Linked DNA regions of Drosophila melanogaster. The protein of the gene in region 1 purifies or fractionates together with the protein of each later gene. This does not show direct contact. Each region holds a gene or a part of one and is shown in the gene's direction. Other genes may lie near its edges.

Region 1 (8,533 bases):
ATATTCATGAACGAATCAGCAGCAAACTACAATTATTGTGCACTTTAGTATCGCAGTGAAAGGCTGAGCCTAATGACCGAGGCCGTGACCCCAGAAGGGCAGTTGCTCCCCTCGAATCCCCCGGCTGAAAATGCGTACTAAATGCGCTAAATTACTAACTAAATGCCGCAAGTGCCGCCCCTGGGCATGGCTAGAATTTCACAAATGAACGCCCTTTTTGGGTGGGCAGGGGGTTGGGTTAAATGGCCAGAGGGGTGCTTTTCCACTGTTTTCTTTTTTCTTTTTGGGTTGCTTATACCAAAGCCGAAAAACTAAAGTCAAAAGGAATGGGAAAGCGAAAGCCAAACACTGCCGACAGTCGATGACATTTGAGCGATAAGAGAAACTGTTGTGTGGCTTACTTGCTGGCAACCCTAGTGATTTTCTATACCATGTAATGGTTAGTTGGTTGTTGGGGGGGTCAGAGGTCGAGAGCGTTCCTTGTGGTTGTTGCTGGCATTAAGTATGCAGGCGTGTGAATCGTGAAGGCGGATATACAAATACGAATAGTATATGTTAGCCGACCTTCGAAGGCAGCCACAGTGCTACACTTGCTTTTTACAACATTGAGAATTGTTTTAAATGTTAATGCCGATGCTCTTGGGCTGATAATAAAATGGGGCAAGTGTGGGGAGCGGTGTGTCAGAGTCAACAAATAATTGAGATGTTTTCCTGAGTGTCATCACACACGCTTTTTTTTCTACAGCCCCAAAAAGTGGGTGGCTGGCAACCAGAGTGGGTGGCTGGTGCTCCCCCGGCGGACGAGAGTCAGCTGTTCTGAGTGCGCGCACTTGTGTTAAATTATGCGGGTTTGATTTTTATTGCACTGCCGCTCATTTCATTCTGCTCCCTTTGCTTTTTTTTCTCTCTCTCCCATTTGTTTTGCTTGCTTTGCTTTGGTTTCCTTTGTTTTATAGGTTTTCCCCAATGGGGGGGAGTGGACCGCATGATACCGAAGCATACCCACTGCCCAAAATCAAAACCATCTCGGAAAGTATAAACAAGTTGGAGTGACGAGCACGCGTGTGTGTGCGGCTGTAATGTGGTCATGCCTCGTTGCCCCAACGAGCTGTTGCTTGGCATTTCAATTAATGGCACTTGCCACCCTTGTATCTACCATACCATACCAACCCACTCCTGCCCTCCAAGGGGTCAGCTCTTCCAACGCTGCACTCCTAATGAAGCCGTCTCCAGCTCCAGCTCCTCCAGTTTCAGTTTCAGGAGGAAACCAGCCGCAACCTCATATCTGCCACCAAAATGAAGGTCTCGTCTCTTTGGGATGCTTTGTCAATGGGCGTCGAGATATGCCTAAACACTTGAAAAAAAAAACGATGCAGTATTGAAAAGGATCATAGATTACAATTATAGTTACTTCTGGTGCTATTACTCAGTGATGATTTATTCTGCCATGAATAATAAATCTGTAAGATTTATTTTTAGCCAATGGACCACTAATTTTTTTTGTGTGCACAATTGCAACTTCGCGGTGACACGTGACCGCAAGGACATTTGTTGAGCCTGAATGTGCCGCATCGCACGTCTTAATAGATTTTTGATTTGTTTGCCCACCCTTCTTAGCTGGTAACTCAGACTTCCCCATTCCGAACCCGGATCCATATCCGAATTCGAATCCAAATCCAATTGTGAGGCGGGCGTGCGTCTCTGATTGGAATAATGATTTCGCTGAAGCAAAGATAGAACATAAACCGAGCCAGATTTGTTGTTTTTTTTTTTTTTGTGGGGAGTAACTTGTTTTTGTCAATATAGAAAATCAATAACTGTTTTCGCCGCTACCGTTCGGTTAAATCAGACGAGGGTAATTCAATTAAGAAATCACACAGGAGGCCAGGAATTAGTAAAAATGGAACGCTCAAGGCTCCGCGAAATGGAGGATTAAAAGCGAGTCCTGAAAGTTGGCCATTTCTTTATTTCTGTCTATGATGAACAATGGGATGGTATTTGGGCAACATTTTACAAATTGTTTCAATTAAAAAGTTTACTGACTTTGCTTTTTCGCCTTTTACTTTATCTATAAGCGGCTTGCGATTGACACGTGCCTCCATCGCCACGCCCCCCCGACTGAACGCCTCCTTCGGTTATCGAATGGTAGTAATCGCTTTTTGGGGCCGCTAATTGCGGCGACCTTGATTGGTTGGGTGGTATTTATAAGTCCGCAAGTTGATTGCATAATACTGGCAATGTTTGGGCAGTGGGCCATAAGTCGTAAGCTGGGAAAGCCAAAAGCTGGGCCAATCAATTAAAAATAATCAGGCGGAAAAAGTTCTGGCCAATCTGCACAAATATATGTATATATTTCACAGTCGCTAATTAATTTAATTGATTTAAACGCTTCGGCTTGACCAATAGCAAGGCGAGGGGTTTGGGGGGTGTTATCGAGTGCATTTGATCTGTTTGTTTGCACAAAATTAAATTGACTTGTAATTAAAAGTTTCGCAATTGATTGAAATTCTCGTGTGTGCTTTTCCTTTGTGCTTTTGGGTGGCTGCGATGAGTCCCAGTACTAAGAACGCTTCAGGGAAATTCGCAGCAAATAAACAAAAAATAAGAAAAAGAAAAAAAAAAAAACACTAAAAAGTGCTAATTAGGAGCATTAATTAAAAATGCATTTTTTGTTTGCCGCTCAATTGAACTGCAGAGAACGTGGAACTGTAACAGTTTTCATACACTGGACATTTTCTCTTTAGGCCTGCGGAGTATAAGAGCGGCAGTATAAGAGTATCCCTAACTGACCTATGGCAGGATATTTTTGCGCGGTTTTCTTATTGTTTAGCAGCTTAAATGGTAGTGGGCATAATTAAATATTATATTAAAAACAAGAAGCAAGTTTCATTTATTAAGAAGTAGAACAATTTATTTCCTTTTATGATTTCCCTACATTTTAAAAGCAGAATGGTAAAACTAAGTCCCTAGAAAGTGGAATACAATACTAATATGTTAAAAAAAAGGTTTTATGAGTCTTAATAATAATTAAATAATTAGTAAAGGCTGTAATATAATTATTCATAAGCATTTTATTACAGTTGCAATAGTGCTTTATTACCTGAGACATTATATTCGATATAAACAAAGTTGCTTGGTAATTTCGTGCTCCAATAAGCCGACTGAAGAGAGCGGCTCTGCAGTTTTAGTTCTCTTTGCTCTTACATGTGAACAATATATATGCGAACTTGCCCGAGTGCCGAAGTTAGCCGAAGTCGAGGCGTTCGCCATGTGCCCGAGCGCCGATTACCAGTCAGTTCCATCCTGTGACTCGAAGGCGAAGCACGCGTTTCTTGATTTATGTGCGCGGGTTGTAGTCCCAGTTAAATCCTGTTCAGATATATTCCTCAGTGTTGAGGGTTTCGAAAAAGTGGGCCTAATGAGTGCCCGGGCCTTCGTGTTAATGGCGAATTAATGACGGGGCGATTAAAATGCAATAGCCACATGCATGGGGCGCCGTAATGAGCTGAACCGAGCGACTGAGTACAGTGAAACACAGTGCCATAAATTAGAGGCGCCCACAAAGTGTAGCCTACTGCTTAGCGGCTTTTGGGCTTACGATCTGTTTGAAGTGTTCGTAGACCGTTAAAACCTTTCGCACGCCCACAAAAAAAAAAGTTCTTGTGTAAAGCTCATTTCGCAGCAGATTAACAAAAAAGAAAAAAAAAACAAAACCAGAAAAAAAGGTCAACTCTCAGTGAAAACGAACCAAAAACAGGGCCAAGCGGAGAAAGTACTTTCATTGCTCCCCAGGCAGAGCTTAACCGAGAGTTTTGCCGGGCTCTAATTTGACGGAATCGTTAGTTGACCAGTGACGTTCCACCACCCGGGTGCACCCCCACCACACCGGAATCCGTTTCGCCGGATCCGGATCGCGTGCCAACTACAAGCGTAATAACAATAAACTTGCGGATAACAACCGCAGATACACAGATACAGATACAGATACAGCAGCACAATGTCCCTGCCATCCAGAGCCAATATCGGATTACTCAACTGGCTCATCGGCTGGCTGCTGCTGCTGTCGATGGTTTTGCTCAGAGGTGAGTTGTGCGTCGGGCTTTTTAATTAAATAATCCAATTTATTTTCATTTAATTTCTAATTAAATTTAATTTGTTTGCGCCGCGCTTTGGCCCACCTAATTGCCCCCATGCTCACCATGCCCACCACGCCCATCACGCCCACCATGCCCGTTGTAACCCAAAGACTTTCCTTTGTCGCCTAGGATTTCCCGTCTAATTTCCGGAAAACGAGCGATTTTCGCTGGCCTGGAAAGCGGGCGAATGCGAATTGAAAATTCTTTAATTTTTGTGCTAAGAATTTTAATTCCGCTACAGAGTCGGCAAAAGTTTTCCCTTTTGTCCCTGGCGCAAGTCAAAAGGTGAAGCATTTAATGCCCATCTGTGTGTGACTCCCAAAAAGTGGAGAACCAACAAAATGAAACATTATACAGAGGGAAAAACGAGTGCTCCCCCCGCATCTTGGTTTTAGAATATTTTTGTTTTTAATGCATATATTATATATGTATTTATACGAACTCTTCATGTTTTTTTTTGGGTTAAGATGAGTTAACAAAGTCAGCTAAAGTATATTTCTGTTAAATTATATAATATTACAAAATGTTTTAATATTGGATTTTGGATTGAATTTAACAACACTTTTAGAATATTCTACTTAAACTTTGTTTGAAGTAAGAACTTGAAATACTCACATTGTTATTGTACAATATTTAGTTTTATAGATACAATCACATACAAAAGTAGTTAGAAAATGTTTTAAAGGCTAGTCTACTATCATCTGCATTTAAAACTATTATTTACAGAAAAGCATATATGCAACTAAGTACTCCGGCTATTTGATTTTCCGTGCATTCGTGACCCACTCCTGTCCAGAGTTTTGCAGTCCTAGTTTCGCAGCCCACAAGGTTGGTCCAGTGACCAACTGAAGGGCAGGAGGATGAATGGCGAATGGCCGCATAGTGCGAGTGCGAATGCCACATGCAACGTGTGGGCTGGGCAAACGGTTTTATATAATAGTTTGCAACAGTGGGGCACAAGTCTCACTTTCAATGCATCAAATGAGAAGCACGCGCTTGTGATGCGCCGCGCCACAGAGATAGAAATGTGGGAAAATAAAAAGTAAATATGAAAAATAACACATACTAACGAGCGGCAGACACTTGGAAAATGCTGTTGAAGCTTGGTCATGGCCAAAATGCTTCTGGCTGCAGTTGCACTTGATGTTGTTGCCGCTTGCGCAGCAGCAGCAGCAGCTGCGTTGCATGTGGCACGTTGCAGTTGACACACGAAACTATTGCCATTGGGCTTGGCTTGGCTTTTTGGTTTTTCAGTTTTGGGGTTTAGCCGCCTGTTTGCTGCTTTTAAGTTTGCACTTTTTAGCTTTCAGCGGCTAGCAATTTTCTACTTTCCGTTTTCAGCTCGTCGTTTGTCATCTCTGAAAACAGTAAATTGCATTTTTATACAATTTTCCATCATTTGACTTGGCAGTTGTTCGTCTGGGCTTTGTAATTTTCAAATGAAATACTTTCCGAATGCAATTCGCTTTTGCGCAAATTGTTTCCTTCGTCCTGCTTTCCTTTGACTTGGCTGCTTCTTTGCCTTCTACCCGCCTATCTTGTTAGCCCATTGGCATCTGTCTGGCCATTTCATTTGGCTAAAAGCTACTTGAAGTTGGTTAAGCGCAGACAAACAGACGAAATAACTCATCTTGGCAATTGCAGAACCTGCAAAAAGGCAAGCAATCAAAAAAGATTCCTATCGAATTACTGGGCAACCGATTTTCCAAGGATTTTCTTTGGTCTGGGTTTTATTTGTTCTCTCACAAAGGTGATGATTATTACTTGTAATGATATATTGGAATTAAAATTATTTAATACAAAGTTTTTGGGCATAAAGATGGTTTAAGTTGATTGCAAAAGGCTAACAAGTCAAAATCTAAAATGTAATTTTTCACTACTTTAGCATGGACAACTTTGACAATTAGCCATATTCACTTTTTAAGTACCAATATTTTATAGTTAAATTTGCATATTATTATGCAGATTATTTTTATTTTTATTATATATATATGCATATTGGAATTTTTTGAGGCAAATTTTCGGCCGGCTGTTTGATTCTTTTTCTCAAATTAATTGACAGGGAAAAACTCGACAAATGCATGCGCATATTTCCATAATGAATTCATAAAACTTTCGATCGTGTCCTTTCGCGAGCTCGTGTTATTTGGTTTGTTGGTTTATTAATAAATAAATTCTGCCCTTGCGGTTTGGCTCTTTGTATGTGTGTGTGTGTGTGCGTGTCACTCTGTATGCAAAATTGCAGTTATTTGCACAGCTGTTTTGCCATATAAGCCAAACAAACGATTTTGCCCTTTTTCACCGCATAACTCGCATGTGCCGTGTTTTTTGACCTCCCCCGCAGCCACTATTAAGTATTTTTGTAAATATTTTCCATGTCGCCGAAAAGGAAAGCAAAATGAATCAATGGCGAAAAAATGATAATAACCGACGTGATTTTCCGTTGAGTACAGTTAATACAGAAGCAATGCTGGGAAAATATACATATACATATAATTGCTGGCGAAACAATTCAGCGTAGGCCGGCATCATTCAGCGGTGTCAGACTGATGAATGAGCCGACGCATTGGCCCAGACAAACGCCTAGGAGAGCACGCAATGCCCATCCATCCATCCATCCACCGTACTGCCATCCATTTCGTTCTCATTTTATCCGATGAAAAACTGACGAGGCGGCGCCTCAAAGTATGCAAAGCACATACTCAAGGGTTCGCAGGATCTGTTTGCCGGCGGGTACAGGTTATTCACACAGGCAGCGGCGTGAAAACCCGACGGATTCTTCATCAAGGCCGACCAACCAGATTTGTACCTTATCTTTTTTTATGCGTATAAATATAAACATACTTTTGGTTTTCACCCCCCAAAAAAAAGCTGCTTGAAGAAACAAACTTAGCCCGTTGTTGATTTTAATGGAATATGGCTTTACAGGAATTTGTGATGAATGGGTGGTTAAAAGTTCCACCGGAAGGACTCTAGACTATATTTGGCTCAAGGAGTTTGGAGGGAAAGTCGAATGGCATCATTAATCATTTAATAGACCAAGGACTGTACTTGAGGATGGTCAGGGATTACAGAAATCTGGAAGTCATTTATTAAAGTAATTTATTCACTTTACAAAGTTATCTTTTAACTGATGTATGAAACATATTTAAATCTGGCTCAAAATAATAAACTATCCCAAATCCCAAATCATTGGTTTAACAGAGCTTTGTGTAGCAAGCCATGAATAACTTTCTTAAACATAAGTCTTATGTAATACTTCAATATATTTAAGTGTCGAGCGAGTTTGAGTAGTTAATTAGGCAAAGTATTGTCAAATAGTTTCCTAATTAAACTGCTGGCACAAAGTTTTTTTTTCGGGCCAAAAGCTGAAAAGTTGCGCAAGTCGTTGACAAGCAAGGTATATATATTTTTTTAGGCAAATCCACAGCTTTTCAAATTATGATTCCCTTTCTAGGCGCAGGTCAAACCAACATTATTTTTTTACCGCTGCCTTCGTAACACTTATGGATTTGACATTTATATGACAGCCAAGGTTTTCTTGTGTGCAAGATTGTTGTTTCTGTTGCTCAAGCCCCTTGAGTGTGTGTGCTTTCGTTTTCGTTTTTTTTTTTTTAGGTTTTCGTCAGGAAAATATATAAATGAAAATTGTTTTTATTTTGCCCCAATGGCTCGGCATCCATGTGCGTAAGATACATACATACATGAGCATTATTTTTTGATTCACTTGGCACAGCGCTTTCTTGCTAACTCAACTATTTCGGTCACGTAACTTTGGAGCACCAGTGCAGAGAAAACCGAATCAGCCAAGAAAGAGGAAAATTTATGCATTTGATTTCAACTAATTTTCAAAGTCCAAGCATGGCTGCGAATGTTTCTGTTGTGTTTTGTTTATCGTTGGCCGAATTATATGCTGACATAAATTAGCCAAAAACTAGAGTGGTTTCGCCCACCCACTTTCCATCATGCCAATTTCCTTGTGGGCCTGGTTTTTACGACCAGAACAACAGCCTTGAGCCAAAAGACGTGGCTATTAAAAAGCACTCCAGCATTGAAAACCCTTTAGCAGCTGTGCTGTCTCCCAGCTTTCGGCTCGATTTTAAAGCCTTTTGGCCAAAGTGGCAACACAAATTGAACCAAAACACTTACAGACAAACAGACAGACAGACAGACGGATGGACAAGTGTCGTAAAAAGGATATATACGCTATAAGTTTCAAGAGTGAGGGGTTTGCGCCACCGAAGCTGTCGATAAATCCACAGGAGCACAATAAACCAGTTGCGCGGCTCTAAAAATCGTGTAGGCCTCAATGATTTTGCGAGGAAAATTCGTTTTATTAACACCGGGGACACGTCACACAACACGTGCTGGGGACAAAGTTTTCACCACTGCTGTTT
Region 2 (7,114 bases), on another chromosome or scaffold:
GAAGTCGATGCAAAACTGCTGTTGACATCACGTTCTGCATGTAGAAAGGCATTTTGTACACGTATACGAAGCTCATTTCTACTTCTTAGACTTTCGTGGAATGTGTTATTGAGATTTTTGCTGATATATGCAGATAATAAAATATAGTTTTAGAACAGCAAAAGAGTATGTTACATTCGTTGAAAAGTTGGCAAGAACCGGAATAAATCACATTTGCAACACTTAAATAGTTAAGCCGTTTACTATTTAAGCCCAGAGGAATTATAGTTTAGTTCTTATTCACATCACAATGCCATCGAAATGTCATCGAAAAGAAGCCAGCTTACTTTGCTTAATAGTATTTATTTGTGAAGCAATTTTGTCAGCTGGTAGTTTTTGTAGAGGCCGTTTGGAATGTCAGATGGCTCTGAAGGGTAAAATGATAATGAGATCTGGTGTTTTGCTGTGTACCAAAAAGCACCAGTTTACCTGCGTTGATCAAGTTTGTGTTTGCGGAAGACCAGAAAAGTGCAATCAGTAAATGATGAACTAATTAGTTACGCGTATGACGTATTGGTTGCTACTCGTAGTTATTCGTAGGAAAATAAAAAGCAATACATGGCGATAGAAAAATGGAGTAATCTTCTTTTTTTCATTTTAAAGGTTTAACCAAAAATGTAGAGATTTTTCGGTCTACTGGCACAATCCGCACTCCAGAAGATTCCATGTTGCATGCAGCCTTTGCTGGAGGCCTCATAATTGGTTTTCACTGCAGTCGGGTGCCAAAAACAGGAGCTGAGCCAGCAGCCAAACAGTCAACAGCGTGGGCATCAGCAAAATTAACTGCAGTCAGGTGGGTATCCTTGGACAAAGCTCCGCTCAATTGGTGAGGAGGAAGCTGCTGTTGTTGTGGCTATTGCATCCACCGCGTGATGCCAGCTAATGAAAATGACCGCCACAGATGACTGTGCTATTATGGCTAGAGCGGGGAATGGCGAATCAAAAATGGAAAGGTCCTGGGCTTACTTTCGCTCATCAATAAGCTCCATTACGTATACGCCGGGTTGGTTTCGCCCATTGCTCAGCCGACAAACAAACTCAGAGCTGTCTGTCAACCAAGTAAGGGGCTGCATTCGACCTCTGCCAATTGAGCGTTTGCGAATTTGTTTGCGCCATGGACCCCAGCATCTCAGTGCAATCAGGCGGAATATATCCCGCTTTGAGCTGGCTGCTTTTGGAATGATAGAAAGTGTTGCCTTCAAGGGAGCCTCAGTTCCTTTCTCTGCATCGTGAATTCTTTTTTCCAGCCCCCTGCTTTGCATACGCGCCACCCACTGGGCTCTTTGGTGGCCTTATTAAGTTGGCGCCTCTATGCAACTGCCATCAGCCGGGAAAGTTTTTCGCATACCTTCGATGGTCTCGGTCCTTTTTATACGCGGTATATTACCCAGTTAGCTGAATATTCTTGAGTTATATACGAAAATAATAAGAAGCAAACATGATTTATCTCAGATATTTCTGGATGTATTGTCTCAATGCGTTACTGCTGTATTTTTTTGCACTTCAACTACAATTATTTTGATATCACTTTCATACAAGCAAGTAAGACTCATTCTGATTTGTTTAGCCAATTGGGTCGATTGAGCAGGGTAACTTTTGATCGACTCCAGTTGAAAGCTCTTCTACATATTTTCACTCGCTCCAGTTTGTTGGGGTTGTCATCGTTGCAACTTCATTGTCAAAGTTGGCAAAGAGTCTTGAAGGGAAAGTTGGAGTGGGAAACTACAAAGAAATGCACAAAAACTGCGTTGTGCAAATACGGAGAACGAGAGTGGCGAAAAACGATGCAACGGTCTGCCAGTTGGGCGCTAATTATATGTAAATAGCTGGAATGAAACCGCCGCTCGAGGTGCCAGATAATTGGCCCTCATGCAACTGCCAAGTATAGTTTACAGCCGAAGTGATCAAGGGAAACAGTCTGCGAAGGAAAAATGCTCAAATTGTCGAGGCGTGAAGGACGACTCTTCTTTACGGTAAAGCTTTTGGCATGACCCCTTAGGAAGAATTAGAGAAATTTAAATGTGGCTACTTTGAGTGCCAAGGACTGTGCCCTAACTTGTTACTTAACGTGTCCTAGGCAATGACTGTTAGCTTAATTTACGGAAACTTAAATGGTACGCAATGCAATAGCAATTAGCTCAAATGCTAGATGAAATTCCTTTGCATTTAGGTCATTAGAGAAGAAAAATTTCATAACACTTCTCGGTGTGCGTGAGAAGGCATTTTCCCCCTTGGCCACTTCTTCTCCCCGGAGACAACATTCAGGACATAGAACAGCATTACAAAATTTCCCCAAAAAATTCGTAGAAATGCCAAAATAAACGAGTGGGATCGCTGGAATGAGATGGCGCAAGGTAAGGATGTGGAGGATGCTACCCACATGAGCGACAGTAACCAACACGTACAAAACGCATAAACATTCTTGCCTAAGTGAGTTTGTACATAAATTTCGAGCAACTTGCGTTGCAGGATGCGTTACAAGGAGACGATTTTGTGTGGGTCTCAGGATCTGTTTAAAGGGAATGAAGGGGGAGACTGTAGCAGTCTACTGTGAGTAGAGCTAAACTTACGCAAAAATCCATGGGAAACCAAGTGAGTTTTGAAGTTTAGACGGTTGGCTCAGTTTCGGTATCCTAATTTATTTATGCAGCCCCTGGCAAATGCAACTTTACTTAGGATGGATATCACTCAGCTATTCATCGTGTTAGCGTCAGTGCTTATTCGAAGGTATTCAGATGCAATTGTTTTATGTTCGAAAAATATCTTAACACTAAAAAATTTGTGCTACTAGCGTTTACTTTTCACCTTTGAATTTAGAAGAAAGCTAAGAATTTATGAAGATTTCCTACCAAATAACTAAATAGCATTTATTATTTTTATGACATCAAATTTTTAACTACCCAACTATTTAATACCAATTACCGACTACTGGTGTGTGCAACTTGAAAGCTGGAATTGAAATTATTCAACGAATCATGGCAATATCATTGGCTGTTTGCATTATGCAAGCATACCCGGTCCTTTGATGCTTGATGGCATTTCCCGAGCACCTACACACACGCAGCCGGAAAAGAAGCAACTTTAGTAGCATATTTCACGGCGCTGCGTCCGAAGAGAGAACGCTCTAAAGAGCACCGCTTGCCGAAGAGAGAAGCCTTGGGTAAGAGAGACCGAAGCGCACATTACTGACCTACATTAAGTAAAAATTTATTTATGCCGGCTGCCAAATTGGTTCCCCAAAGCATTGGCAGGCCCCGCTGTCCCCTGGTCCCTGGCTTTATGACTATGACGGATATGATTGTTGGTCGGAGTTTCCCTTTCCCCTCCTCGTACTTGCCCACTATTACTGCCTTTGTGGTTGTTGGCTTAAATAATAATGGCTTGTAATTTGCATAAATAATGTTTGATTTTTGCATTGATGAGGGAAGAGTGTGTTCCGCGTGTGTGTGTGTATTTGGGGAATTTTAAATGATTGAAAGCTCGGTCATCATTGGGGAATGCCGGGCTAGATGGCACGAAATTTTTGCATTTAAATCGATAAATTAGTGGAAAGAGCTCTAAAAATCAGTATGCCAGGATATGAGTCGTTTGGTCTATTTGGAAGTTGCATTGTAGATTTAAGCCCACCAAATAGGAAGAATAGTTTGCTGCTATAAGGGTCGACTTCGATGCCCCAACAATGGTTTCTTATCCTGCCACAGCACTGTTAACCAGCTAACAGAGCTCTGGCTCTGTTGCTCTCTAACGGGACCTGGTTCTCTTTGCCTTTGGAGTTCGGCTCGCTTCGGCAAGTTCGCGAGTGCTTGCCGAACTCCACGAACTCCGAGCCGAAGAGCGCTCGGTAGTCGACAGTCGTGACGAATGACGGCGATTATCGCCCTTCGAGGACTTTGTGTAATCAGTGCGTCCTGCTAAGCAAATTAGTTTAGTATGGTTTTAGTGCGCAACGCTGACGGTCGCACCAGTTCGCAGCTCTTAACACGTTGGTGTCGAAAGTCGACGCGCTCGCGTTTCGTCCCTCGCTTGAATTGAATGCCGCGAGTCGCGAGTGCCTGCGATATCATCGGAGGACAATAGCTCAGCACTGTACGTAAGCGGAAGGAATGGCCAGAATTAAATAAATAAATAAGTGCAAGACACAACCGGAGACGCTGGCTGCCAACTTCAATTTGGTACTTCATTTTTCACAGCCCGCTTAACGCAAATTGTGCCGGTCCTGGCTCCTTGCTGGGTACTAAGGTCCTGGTGCATACCCGTGCATTCTCCGCTCCCCTCCCCTGTTGATTGCATTCTTGGCGGCAAGTCGAGCGTGGCTCATTAAATGGCTGGCGAAAAAAAATGAAAGAGGAGTGCCGACTTGCGGAAAAACAATCACAGCATTTCTCTCGGCTGGTAGAGCCTGCAAACGGCATTTATAGAAGGGCCCTAGCGGCGCTGGGAAATTGTGGTATTTTATTCGTTATTTCACTTTGACTGTCACGCCAATTGAATTAATTCCACCGAGGAATTTAGGATTTAATTTGACATTTAATTATTGCAATTAAAAGTGGCCCGCAAAGCGCAGCATCAACAAAAAATGTCGTTTCAAAACAGGATTATGATCAAACAGAACGCAACGAAATTATGAAATTTTGTTTGAAAAAAAATGAATTACTTTCGAAAGTGGTTGACAACATAAAGCCGTGTCACATTACAGCAGCGGTTTGTTATAAAACGCGTAATAAATCTAAGAAAAAAGGAAAAAAGCTTTTATATTGATGAAAGGAAAACTTAAACAACAGGGTCAGAAAAACAATTATTGTATACAATAAAGGTTAACATTAATGGCAAAAGGATACATATATATATATATTTATATATATATATTTGGTTTTTATGCCTTAATAACTTGTTAGCTCTGCCCAATTCTATGATTTGAAACCCCTAGGATATTTTGTCTTTGTATTTTGTATATTAGTATCCTAAAATATCCTTCTCGTTATCAACATAAACAAAATAGCGATTTATTATTATTACAATTCCTTTGACTTCTAGCATTGCCATTGCTAGCTAAAAATATTCAAGCCTGAATGATGTGCTTAACAAATTAAGTTCCATGCAACATGATTTCTTAAGCAACGTTTATCCTTTATTATATGCATTCACTACTTTCGTATATACACATATAATTCAGAAAAGTTTGCGAAACGTCGAATACTTGGTATCAGCAAACTTTTTTGATAACTTTACTTCACTTGTAGCCCGAAAACAGTTTGAAGTGCAGGACGAAAATCACCCAAGGACGAGCTTTAACTAAATTATTGGGAGCTCGCGTCAAGTGTCAGACTTTGGGGGGGAAAATGGAATAACAGTTTGCCTTTGTTGTGTCTACAAATTTGTGGGGCGCTGTTCGTCAGCGCTAATGAATAGGTGGGGAGTTTTGTGCACAATTATCAAATAAAACGGGTAGCCGACCGCACAATTACACACAATATTTTCGCACACGCACCCAAAACGGAAGCCGTATAAACAACATGAATATGAAATTTAGCTGCTAGAAGCATATACATGCACATACATACTATAGATGCACAGCTCGTTGTGGATGGCCGTCCAATAAGCGACATAAAATATGCGAGCACTCACACACACTAGCGCACGCGAGCGAACACTAACACATGCATATGCACATGCGGATGAAGCGCCCGCAGCGAGTGCGGGAAATATTTTATGCACTTTATGCGGCCTGGACGGCGCTTGCTGCTGGGGATCGCTAATTAGGCAATATGCACTTGATTGTGTTATAATCATTAAAACCGGAAATGCATGGCCAACCCACAAAACACAAACGAGCGCAAACGCTTGGCCACACACACACGCGCACACATACGAATATGCGTGAATGCTTTCAGGTGGCTGCAATAGTTCACAGCATACTTTCGCACAGGGCCAAAAAGTGTTTTACCAAAGTTTCGAAATTTCATCACAAGAGTAAATGGGGTCGGTCTCACCATCCTGTCCGATTTTGTTAGTTTCCCATTTCACTCTGATTAATTATTTGGTGAAAAATAATTAAGTCTTTGAGGGGCTGGCAAGGCGTCGGAAAAGCAGCTCGTTCTCCCACAAAATGACGGAAAGTCACATCAATGGCTCGGCGGAAACGGAAGTGCGGGAAAGCAAACACGTGTCGGAAAAATGTCTGCTTGCAACAATGTGTGCTCGTACAAGTATATGTGTGCCAATGCACTTCCGCACACCCACACACCCGCACAGCAGGCGCCCATGTTGCATATGTAAAGCGGCTTGTAAGCTGGCCAATTTTTTATGCATTTATGCATTTTCCCCCGCTGCAGCTGCATCCCGTCCCCCGCTGACCGTTTTTTTTATTAAAGTTGCCCGTTAAGAAAAGCCCAGAAACCGCAGCAACAAACAGGAACGCCCACTGTGCGAACTGCATCGCACGTCCAAACGCCTTTTTGTAGGTTAATCAAATGCAAGACGGGGAAAATGCACAAGCTGCATGTCAGTGGGAAATGCTGCTTGTGGCTAGTTAGTGTGAGCGGGCGTTGGAGCAAGCATTTTGCCATCTTTTTGTGTACGCATTTCGCATGGCTTGTTATATTAAAAGAAATTTCCCAGCTGAGAAGAGACAAGGCAAGGAAAAACAAGCAAGCATCATGGCAACTGACAGCCAAGATGGACGGCTCTGTGATTTGATTTTTATTTCGAGCGATGCACAACAGCAGCTGGCAGTCAGTGGACAGATGAATTATGGCAAATGATGTAAACGCTCCCAGTGGATGTGGCTCTAATTAAACCGAGGGCCAAGAAGCACTCATAGCCCAAGTACTCATTTTCTCCTTTTACAATAGATAAATGACGTTTCGCAATTTCTCAAAAGTTTCGACTACCCTTGCTGGTTGCCTAAAACCAGAAAAAAATATTTCCTTTACTTGCATATTTATTGATTTTCAAGCCACAAGAATTTTTCGTAACGAATAGCTGTAAGTCTTCATAATAGGATGACCAAGAAATGTCGCGTCGAAAAGATAAATATTCCAATTCATCTGCAATCCGAGCAGATTTTGATTGGCAC

The links.
Region 2: the proteins of dpr1 (region 1) and DIP-theta purify together in Drosophila melanogaster (affinity purification with western blotting; 2 studies listed by BioGRID). This does not show direct contact.

What each region holds. Positions count from the first base shown.
Region 1 is NT_033778.4:20,695,189-20,703,721, forward strand, and holds the start of dpr1 (defective proboscis extension response 1), read left to right. Parts: upstream 1-3,294; 5' UTR 3,295-3,997; coding exon 3,998-4,082; intron 4,083-8,533.
Region 2 is NT_033779.5:5,655,406-5,662,519, reverse strand, and holds the start of DIP-theta (Dpr-interacting protein theta), read left to right. Parts: upstream 1-3,959; 5' UTR 3,960-4,125; intron 4,126-7,114.